Linked DNA regions of Sus scrofa. The protein of the gene in region 2 binds, or shares a complex with, the protein of the main gene of each other region. Links are inferred from orthologs where the notes say so. Each region holds a gene or a part of one and is shown on either strand. Other genes may lie near its edges.

The links.
Region 1: the proteins of GNAI1 (region 2) and GPR88 are in contact, whole or in part, in a cryo-EM structure (PDB 7EJX), measured with the Homo sapiens proteins. The link is inferred for Sus scrofa from reciprocal best matches to the Homo sapiens genes GNAI1 and GPR88. Residues at the interface, in NP_002060.4 of Homo sapiens: Arg24, Glu28, Ala31, Arg32, Tyr320, Asp337, Ala338, Thr340, Asp341, Ile344, Asn347, Leu348, Lys349, Asp350, Cys351, Gly352, Leu353, Phe354; in NP_071332.2 of Homo sapiens: Ser66, Arg138, Leu141, Ile142, Pro146, Ala147, Gln150, Gln154, Ile215, Arg218, Val219, Ser222, Val223, Arg225, Val226, Ser285, Val286, Tyr336, Arg339, Asn340.
Region 3: the proteins of GNAI1 (region 2) and HRH3 are in contact, whole or in part, in a cryo-EM structure (PDB 8YUU), measured with the Homo sapiens proteins. The link is inferred for Sus scrofa from reciprocal best matches to the Homo sapiens genes GNAI1 and HRH3. Residues at the interface, in NP_002060.4 of Homo sapiens: Ala31, Arg32, Glu33, Val34, Leu194, Thr219, Lys314, Asp315, Glu318, Ile319, Tyr320, Thr321, Thr340, Asp341, Ile343, Ile344, Asn347, Leu348, Lys349, Asp350, Cys351, Gly352, Leu353, Phe354; in NP_009163.2 of Homo sapiens: Asn69, Asp131, Arg132, Ser135, Val136, Ala139, Val140, Ser141, Tyr142, Arg143, Ala144, Gln146, Ile221, Ile225, Arg228, Arg232, Phe344, Thr345, Phe348, Arg349, Arg352, Asp353, Lys355, Val356, Ser359, Leu360, His416, His417.

What each region holds. Positions count from the first base shown.
Region 1 is NC_010446.5:117,621,012-117,624,760, forward strand, and holds the start of GPR88 (probable G-protein coupled receptor 88), read right to left. Parts: upstream 2,742-3,749; 5' UTR 1-2,741. UniProt on the Homo sapiens protein: Orphan G protein-coupled receptor implicated in a large repertoire of behavioral responses that engage motor activities, spatial learning, and emotional processing. May play a role in the regulation of cognitive and motor function.
Region 2 is NC_010451.4:100,269,380-100,273,128, forward strand, and holds the start of GNAI1 (guanine nucleotide-binding protein G(i) subunit alpha-1), read right to left. Parts: upstream 2,896-3,749; 5' UTR 2,542-2,895; coding exon 2,424-2,541; intron 1-2,423. UniProt on the Homo sapiens protein: Guanine nucleotide-binding proteins (G proteins) function as transducers downstream of G protein-coupled receptors (GPCRs) in numerous signaling cascades.
Region 3 is NC_010459.5:61,622,318-61,624,580, forward strand, and holds the end of HRH3 (histamine H3 receptor), read right to left. Parts: coding exon 1,622-2,263; 3' UTR 548-1,621; downstream 1-547. UniProt on the Homo sapiens protein: The H3 subclass of histamine receptors could mediate the histamine signals in CNS and peripheral nervous system. Signals through the inhibition of adenylate cyclase and displays high constitutive activity (spontaneous activity in the absence of agonist).

The DNA.
Region 1 (3,749 bases), on a different chromosome or scaffold from region 2:
ATATCCAGGACTCATCTCTTCCATCCCACGGTTTCAGGGAGAATTGCTTTACATTCTAATTGAAATTCACTTTTTCTCTGGTAAAGTGGGACATGGGTAATTATCCACAGAAAATCCCCAGGTCTCAAATCATAATTTGAACTTTTTTCTCATCACGAAACTCCTTTCCAGAGCGGCTTCTGTTTCAGCAGTGAAGTAGCTAGGGGGTAAAAATGGCATGATCCGAAGGTTACGTGCAAGTTTGTGTCCAGGGGAAAGCAAGGGGCCTGGATGATCTCCAGGGTAAACCAGAAAGTGTCCTCCTCAGTGCTGAGCTTGGTACCCCATGGTCTGTCTGAGATGGAGATTTGCAATTTGATGTTGGAAGCTTCCGAATGGGAAACTTTTCATAAAAAGTAGTCACCCTCTTGCAAATCATTTTTCAATGGCAAAAAATCCCTTATTTGAAAACCTAATGCCATACAGAATATGGTGACATGGCATCCTGGAGAAAATGCTAGGTGGGGTTTCAGGACCCCTGAGTCCTAAGCTGGCCATCCACCAATGGCCCTGTGATGGATCGTTCTCATCTTGTCAAATACGTTTCACTCAGTGACGTCCAAGGCCCTTTCTGTTTGAACGTTCTATGAATCCCCAAGCATAAACTTGACATTGCTCCAACCTAGTCTGACACTTGAAATACTCCTACTCTGTCTAACGTGTAATGTGGTCCGTCTCAGGTTAGGTGGGAATTTTTGCCAATCTGTCCCCAAGTGTGCCTCGTCAGGGCAAAGCACACATTCACCTCCTCTGCTTCCCTCTGTCTCTTTCAAAACCAGTGCTCATTAATGACTGTTAACGCTAAGCAGGACTTGATGGATTTGGTCCATTTAGGTGATGTCCAAATGGAATTAATTGAGTAGCAGGGTTTTCTTTTGCCAGGGTCTCTGCCTGTTATCTGTCTTTCTTGAGGCTTTGAGGACATCAAGTATAGAAAGCTTGCAAGAGATCCCGCTAAACATTTGTAGTTAGGACTTGTTGTTGCAATAAAGATCTCTTCTCACATCTGTGGGGTGTTCAAATTCCAGGTCCTTAGTCCAGGCTCCTGCTTTACATGAGAACCAGACAAAGTCCCTGCCGGGGGAACTCCAGTGCCTTGCAGTCACATGCACAGTCGCACGTGCTTCTGCCAAGACCCTGCCTTCTTTAGCCCTGGCCTGGCAGGGGCCAAAGTTTTGTTTGTTTTGTTTTAAGCTACTGAACTTACATAATATAGGGTGGGGATTTTTTCTGTCTTCTTCTCAGCATCAGAGCACTACTTGATTAGAATTAACATACTATTGAATTAACAAATGGATGCATGTATAAATGATTGCATGTGTTTTTTCCATAGTGAAACCGTGAATAATTTTCATTAGCATCTCTTTCCGCCTCTCCTCGTAGGAACTCACTCAGTGAACTGCCCCCTCTGATGCATCTCCAGTCTCTCTACTCTCTGCTGCTTGCTTTCCACTGGCCACAAAAATGCCGATTTCCCTGCAATCCAGTACCTCTTTCCTGCACTTGCCCTCCTTCTCAAAGTGCCTACACAGCTTTTCCCTTTCCTGGCAAAAGTGCTCTCTTTCTGCTTCTACTTCCCTTCCTCCCACTGAATGCCCACCCCACGCTGCTTTTGGCTTTTGCCCCTGAGATACTTTCCAACTGGCCAAAGGTTGGCCCATGGATAAAACTGCCTACTGGACAACTCCACCTAGGTGTTCTGTGGGCATCTAAACCCCAAATGTCCAAAACTGATCCCTCGTCTTCTTTCCAAATCAGTCCCTCCTTCTCCTATGGTGTGAATCTCAGTGACCCGGCATCGCCAGGACCCTGGTGCCCCAGTCGGAATCCCAGCCATCACCCCTAATTCCTTCTTCTCTCTCTTACTCCCAAGTGTCGTCATTCTACTGTGTTAATTTTTTTTATCTTTTCGCTGATCTCTGGTCATTCTGGCATACCTGGCATCTGACAACCGTCATCTCGTCTTTGAATTACCACCAACAAGCTCCTGACTCTACTTGCAATCTTACCTCTCCCCAGCCGCTGCGATCTTTCTAAAACCAAACGACATCACTTGGCATATTATATAGTTTTATTTTTGTCTATTTTCCCACCCTCCGCTCCAATATACATTCCTTGGAAATAGGAGCTTTACTTTTCTCACGACTGTTATTGGCAGAACAATGCCAGGCACATTGTAGACCCTTAATCAATATTTGTAGGGAAAATAGTGAGTATCTGTCACTATCCTGCTGAAAACTTTTCTCTAGGTCCCTGTGGCCCTCAGAAGAATCATTGTGTCATCATTACTCATGAAACACACACACCATGTGTACCAAGCACTGTTGTGAGTATTTTTCATCTCTTTTTTATTTAGTCCTCATACCAGGCTTGCAAGGTAGCCAGGCCTGATTGGGCCTAAATTTGCAGGCCAGGGCAAGAGTCTGAATAGAAGTCCATATGCCCTATTTCTAAATATTTTAAAATCATAGATCAAGCTATTAAGCTCTTAAATAAAATATGTTCTATTCTCCTATCTTGATATACACTGAAAAGCCAGATTCAAATTTAGAATTCTCAGATTTATAGAGTGTCCCATGCCACTGGAATATGACGACTTACCAAGCTTGCCTCTGGCCCACAGTTCACCCCCTTTTCTCTCACCCTCTATCCTGCCATCACATGCCAGAGGGGCCTCATTTTAACACAGGACATGCCAGCCTTCCCATCCAAGTGTCATTCATCTCCTTGTCACACAGCTACTCCTTGGCAACATCTCAGACCTAGGGTCCTGCCTGGAAGACACAGTCAGTCATCAAAGGGCAAAAACAGCTCACGGGAGTGTGCTCATGGCCACCAGACATAGGATTCTGTGATCTTGGCAATGAACACGATCTAGAAAGGGGATGTGAGGCCTGGGGGACCCTGACCCCTTAAATCCATTTAATAGATGAGAAAACAGGGTCACCAAGAGATAAGGATATGAACTGAAAATTTCACCTATCACTTCCGCACACATCCCAGTGGCCCAAACTTTAGTCCCATGCTGTTCCGTGCTGCAAGACAGGCTGGGTCACTCTAGCCGAGTGCCCACATGCCCTGCTAAGACTCGGGAGGGACGGGAGAAAGGAGAGCATGGACACTGGCTGCTGGAGGGGGGCGGTTATCAGATTTATGCCAGTTTAACCTACAAGTTTAAAACAAAGCGTTATGATCAGGGGCGTAGGAGCACTGGCTCAGTGCCTAGAGCATTCTGGCTCTTCAATACCCTTAGAAGATTTTTTACCTGAAAAAAGAAAGAAAGAAAGAAAGAAAGAAAGAAAGAAAGAAAGAAAGAAAGAAAGAAAGAAAGAAAGAAAAGAAAAAAGAATTACTGGCTCTGAAATACAAAAAGAAAGCTTTGGGAGTTCCCGTTGTGGCTCAGCAGGTTAAGGACCCAGCATGGTGTCCGTGAGGTTACAGGTTCCATTCCTGGCCTTCCTCGGTGGGCTAAGGATCTGGTGCTGCCACGAGCTTTGTTATAGGTCGCAGGTGTGGCTCCAAGCGTGGCTGTGGCTCTGGCGCAGGTCAGCAGCTATGGTTCTGATTCAGACCCCTAGCCTGGGAACTTCCGTATGCCAAAGGTGCAGCCCTAAAAAGAAAAGAAAACTTTTTTTAATTTTATTTTTTTAATTGTTATTTTCCCACTACAATTTCTTTTCCTACCGTACAACATGCTCCCTCCCCTTCCC
Region 2 (3,749 bases):
TATAATTTGAAACATCCAAAGAAGGTCAACTCTTCAGCACTCAAGTCAAATCAGTGTGGAAAAAAGTTTTTGAACATTCTAAGAAATAAGATTTATGAAAAAAGCCAGCATTCTGTTCATAGGAAGTAAGAGTGTTGGAACACTGGGCAAAAGGGTAGAGTAAAATGGGAGTGAGAGAGAGTAGAAGGGGAGGGAGTAAGACGCATGAGGAGGAGGAGGAGTTCCTCCACATGAACCAGACAAGGATGTGATGGGATATCTACAAAGAAAAGATGTAGGCAAGAGCAAAAGACTAAAACTTGAAAAGGGAGCTGAAGGAATTCAGTTACCCAAAGATTTTAAAGTCATGTTGAAAGCTTTCTAATGCTACTGGTATGGAGAAACAAAAGTTCTCTAATTTCTTCTCAAAATCATGACTCTGCTACCTCTTTCTCTTAACTCTCACTATAGTTGGCTATACAGATGCAACTTTTGGTTCTACATTACACATTCAGCTATATTTGTTAGTCTAGAACAGTGACTCTCCGCTAAGATTAAATTTTGCCCCCATGGGACGTTTTTGAGATATATGGAGACATTTTCTAGGGTCACGGGTGGAGGGGGCTGCTAAAAGGTGAAGGCCAAAATTTCTGCTAAACACCCTACAATGCACAAGACCGTCTGCACAACAAAGTATGATTCCACCCAAAATGCCAATAGTGCTAAGGCTGAGAAATACTGATCTCTTCTGACTAGAAGCAAAAACCAATTCCTTGAACCTTTCTTCTAGTCCATCTTTCTCTGCAAGATATCTATTTAAAGCATAAAACAACATTAGAGGACTCGTTTCTTGATGCTTTAAACATGGTGGATGGCTGGCTCAAACTGAGTGTCACACAATACAGTGAAATAATATATCGGAGCAGGAGTGCAGAAACTGCAGGAAAAAACTTCCCAAAATATTTTCCCCCATTTTCTTCTCAAGTACATTTGATTCTAAAGAGAAACACCTACTTGTTTCCATGCCAAGGTGTCACTCCTGTGCTCAATACACTGAAAATACAGTGACTTCCTCAAAAGACAATTATTTTCTTACTAATGTGAAAACTTAAGTAAACACTATTAACTGAAACAATTTCTGCTGTGGGGGGCGGGGGTGAAGAAAGCCACCAAGTCTTTAAAATGCAAAGTTATTACACAGTTTGCGTGCAGAATGACTCAGATCATTATTACTTTTAGTCATGCCAAGTTTGCTGCTTCTAAGCCTACTAGTAATGGAGAAAAAAACCCACCATTTTCCTGCAGTCACTAAACCAATGAAACAGAAGCTTACTGAAAACAGGTTTATGCAATAGTATTTCTCCTCTATTATAACTATTATAAAAATAAAAGCAATCGCTGGGAATGAAAACAAAGAAATCTTTCACCTACTTTACCTACAGGGTGTGTGTTGTTGGGGGTGTAGGGGTGGGAGGACAAGCAAACAAAAGAAAGCCCTAACTCACGCATCAACCAATCTTAAACTGAATATTTTCCTAATGCACATCTCAAAAACAATCCTGGCTTACTCTTTTTACGTTTCCTCCCTTCAAACAACTGGAAACGACCTCCTCCACATAGCGTTTCACCAGGAGAACAACACTAAGAACAAATAAAAGCCTCGCGGGTACCTGGCAAATCTCATTCATCAAAAACCGCGGCCAGCAGAGAGAGAATCCCGTTGTCTGGTGTGACCCATTCGCACCTTTCACAGTGGTTTTCAGCGCTGGAGTATCTTACTGAAGCCACTGTTACCTAACTTCAGTGATTTCCATGTCCCCACAGCAATAAAAATCCAGCATCCAGCGTAGCCTACTCCCTTAACACAAGGTAAATATAATCACTGCTCCTGTAACACTTACTGAGTCGCCATAGGAAGTTCACCAGAAAGACACATTTCAGTCCCTTGGAGGCCCCATAAAGGTTCACTGATTTCACAAAACGTGGCACTCCTGACACAGGAAAACCACAACCGCGACACGACACCTTGAATGAAGGGTTTTCGAGGGGGGCGGAGGGTGCTTTTATTCTCCCGGTGCCAATGCCCTTTCATCTGTATACAGCTGAGCTAACTTAAAAGAAAAAGGGGCTCCTCGCAGGTTCTGCACCGAGGCACGTCAGCGAAGTGAAGCTCCTGCGCCGCCGCGGGAGAGTTCTCCCCGGCCAGGGAGCAGAGGGGAAAGAGACCCGGGAAAGGGGCGCCCGCCTCGCCTCGCCTCCGCACCACACCACACAAGCTCGCCCTTCGAAACCCTCCTCCGGCGGGCTACAAGACGCGCCCTCGGCCGTTTTGGCACGTCCCCTCCGGGCTTCCCAACGCCAAGCCAGCAGCGGCCGCCGCGCCCAGCACATCCGCCCGACCCCCTGGGTGCCCCCAGCCGCCAGCCCGGCCCGGCTGCCCTTACCCAGCAGCAGCAGCTTGACCTCCCGCGCCGCCTTTTCGCCATCCTCGCGGAGGTTCCGGTCGATCATCTTACTCCGCTCCACCGCCGCCTTGTCCTCGGCGCTCAGCGTACAGCCCATTGTGCCAGAAGCAAGAGCTGCCCGCCACTCCCTTCAAGTCCGGCGCGCTGCCTCGAAACACAGGTGAAATCTTTCCTTCTGGGTGCGGGCGTTCGAATTCCTCCCGTCGCCGGCCACGCCACCCCCACCCAGTTCCGAAATGGAGTGTAGACAGCGCAGTCTGTAAAGGAGCAAGCAGCACCGCGCGCTTCTTCCCCCTCAGCGGGCTCTGCTCCTCGCCTCCCTCCGCGCCCCCGAAGTCCCGGGTCTCGAGGCTCAGGGCACACAGACTGGGGGCCTCCTGCCAGTAGCTGCGCGGCTGCCTCTAGAAGCCCGGAGCGGCTCGGCGTCCGCGCGCCGCCGCGGCCCCGCCCCTGCTCGGCCCCTCCCGCCACCCCGCGACCACTCCCAGAGCGCGCGCTCCCGCCAGAGCCCTCGGACTGCGCCCCCTCGGACGGGCGCGCGCGCCCGCGCTGCCGCGGACCCCGAAGCGGCGCAGCCCGGGAGGGCCCTCCTCCTTCCCGCGCGCGCCCCTGAGCCCCGGAACCCTGAACTGTCAGGCTAGCTCCCCTACCTCACTTCTTCCGCGGGAGTGTGATAATTTCCTCCCGTTTACTCACACCCAGGGATGTGTGCGGACCTGCCCCTTCGGGGTGCGGGTGGGAGAGCTGCCAAAGTTGGAAACCAAAAAAAGCCATTCCTGGGCGTTTGAGCATGCCCAGCTCTGGCAGCCACGCAAGGGTTTTCGACCTGTAAACCCGCGTCCAGCTTCCTGGGAAACATGGAGCTGGGGAGGGGATCGAGCCGTGGCGAAAGCACAGGTGGGGACAATGGGGGACAGAAAAGTCTGGGGCGGACAGAAGGTCAACTTTCTTCCGTTTCTATCTCCTTCCCTTCTCGCCGCTTCCATCCATTCTCAGATTCTTTTTCACAACCAGAGAACATTTTGAGGGATTTCCTCATAAACTGAGAAAGTGTGAGACAAAGAATCAAAGAGTATATTTTTAAATGACAAAGCCAGTAAAACACGCCCACACAAATATGCTCCACACCATAGCCGACGTCCTCTGCAGCGGTGTGTAAGCCTCCAAGCCAAGTTCTGAACCAATATTTACGACCATGTTAGTAAATCATAATCCACTGGACATGTCATTCATTGGCTTCCTCTCCCATAAAATGATATGGAGTTGATCCACACTATCGCTCCATCCTTCCAGCTGTACCTGGTC
Region 3 (2,263 bases), on a different chromosome or scaffold from region 2:
GAAGGGAGGGCCCTGGAGGCTGGAAAGGGGGAGGAGGTGGCATCTGATCCACCCAAGTTCGTAACCCCCCTAAGTTGGGCTGGACTTGCCCCCTTTCTGAGTTGACTCTGGGCACCTGGGGGAGGGCCGGTGTCTGCCCCCCACCCCGCGGAGCCCAAGGGTTCCGTGCCCACCGGCACTGTCCTTATCAGGTCCTCCTCCCGGGCCCCAGCCCCCTGGCCCCGGCCTCGGTGCAGGAAGCTCCTTGGCCCTTCCCCCCAGCTCAGCTTCAGGCCCCACGCCCCTGGAGGCGGGGGGGGAGGTGGCGGGGGGAATCACAGCTGTCCTGGGGGTGGGGGCTGGGGCCGATACTCTCAAGCCTAGAGTGAGTCCTGCACAATGCCATGCCACGCTACCAAAGGGGTTCCCCCCAGGGGGGGGCACTGCCAGGCACGCATCTCTAGTTAGGACTAAACCTGTTAACCACTGCCCCCGCCTCTGCCCCCCACCACAGGTTCCCCTCCCCAGGTCCCTGACTGAGGTACGGGGGCTTGGCCACCCCCACGAAGTCCTCGGGAATCAGCACCAATAAAAAAATACACTTTACTGTGGACTCTGGGGTCTGCAGGGCAGCACAGCAGGTATGGGAGCTGGGCATGCAGGGCGCCCACTGGGTGTGTGGGATATGGTGAAGCAACCCCTCTGCTGGACCCCGGCCCCTGTCCCCTCCCCTGACAGCCCCAGGGGACTCTGACAGCAGATGGGGCGGGAGGGGCAGCCTTCCCGACGACCAGGCGGCCAGGCTCCAGCCGCTCTCAGAGCCTCCAGTCCGGCCCCGCACCCGGAGCTGGGGGCGGGGTGGGCAGAGACAGCTGGCACTGCTCGGCCGGAAGCAGCAGCACGAGGAAGGAGGGCGTGGGAGCCCACACCTGCCAGTCCAGCCCTGAGCTCCTCAGCAATTTTCTCTCTCTTGATTAAACATCCAAGGAACATCAAGTTCACGGACGCGTTTTCTCCTTCTCCGTCTTCCCTGAAACTCCCAGGATGGAGAAGCGAGACGTGCCAGAGGCTCCTTGGTGGGCATCTGGCACTTTGGGTCACAGAAAGTTGGCAGAAAGAGGGATGAAGGGGCCTGGCCCCGGACTTAAGCAGGAGACAGCAGCGAAGCTAGCGTCCGGGGCTCGTCTGGGACGAGGCGGGTGTGCGGGGGTGTGCACGTGCGGGGCCAGGGCACCAGCTCTGGAGGCTTGGAGCACACGCCAAACGCTTGCTCTGGGAAGATCACCAAGCAGTAACTGCGAAGGGTGGACACCACTGGCCATCGCACTGTCCGTGGGGGGTGGACAGAGTGCCTGGGACCCCTGGGTTGGCCCTCTGGGGCAGAGCAGGACGGGGGCAGCCACATCCTGGTTCGGGCAGCGAGGGCCCTTCCAGACGGCCCACCGGGCTGCCTCAACTGCCAGCGGAAGGGATGAGAGAGGCTGCCATGGCCTTGAGGGTGGGCCGGAGACAAGGCATGGCTCAGCCCTGGGGGCGGCCAGGGGGCGGGGGGCGAGGCCCGGCTGCTTGGGAAGCCAGGACCTGGAGGGGGCGGCAAGGGAGGGCCTGTCCCCCCACAGCCCAGGTGCCCAGGGAGGCCGGCTCACTTCCAGCAGTGCTCCAGGGAGCTGTGGGGCTGGAGCTTGAGCTTCTGGGGGCAGAGCAGCTTGGCGAAGGCTCGGCGGAAGCTGTAGTGGCACAGCGGGTAGAGGACGGGGTTGACGGCCGAGTTGGCCCACAGCAGCCAGAAGGACGTCTCGTACCAGTAGTCGGGGACGCAGCGGCCGTGGCAGGCCGCCCGGATGATCATCAGGAGTGTGTAGGGGGCCCAGCAGAGCCCGAAGATGCTCACGATGACCGCCAGCGACTTGGCCACCTTCTTGTCCCGCGAGAGCCGGAAGCGCTGGGTGACGCTCTGCGACACCATCTTCATGCGCTTCTCCAGGGACGCCGAGGACGCGGACGGCTTGGAGCCCCTCTTCAGCGAGCGCGGCCGCTCCGTGCCCCTCGAGGAGCTGCCGGAGCTGGAGGTGGGCGAGGCCGCGGCACCCCCTCCGCTGCCGCCGCCGAGGGCCGCCTCCCTGGCCTCGGTGCCCGGGGCCCCCTCGCCGACCCCGACCCCACACCTGTGCAGCGGCACAGCCTCCCCGCACCCCTTCTGCCAGCAGCCCCAGCAGCTGGGCACGGCCGCGGGCGGGGACGGCTGGGCCTCGGGCGGGAGCTCCGGGGCGGCCGCCTCGCGCGC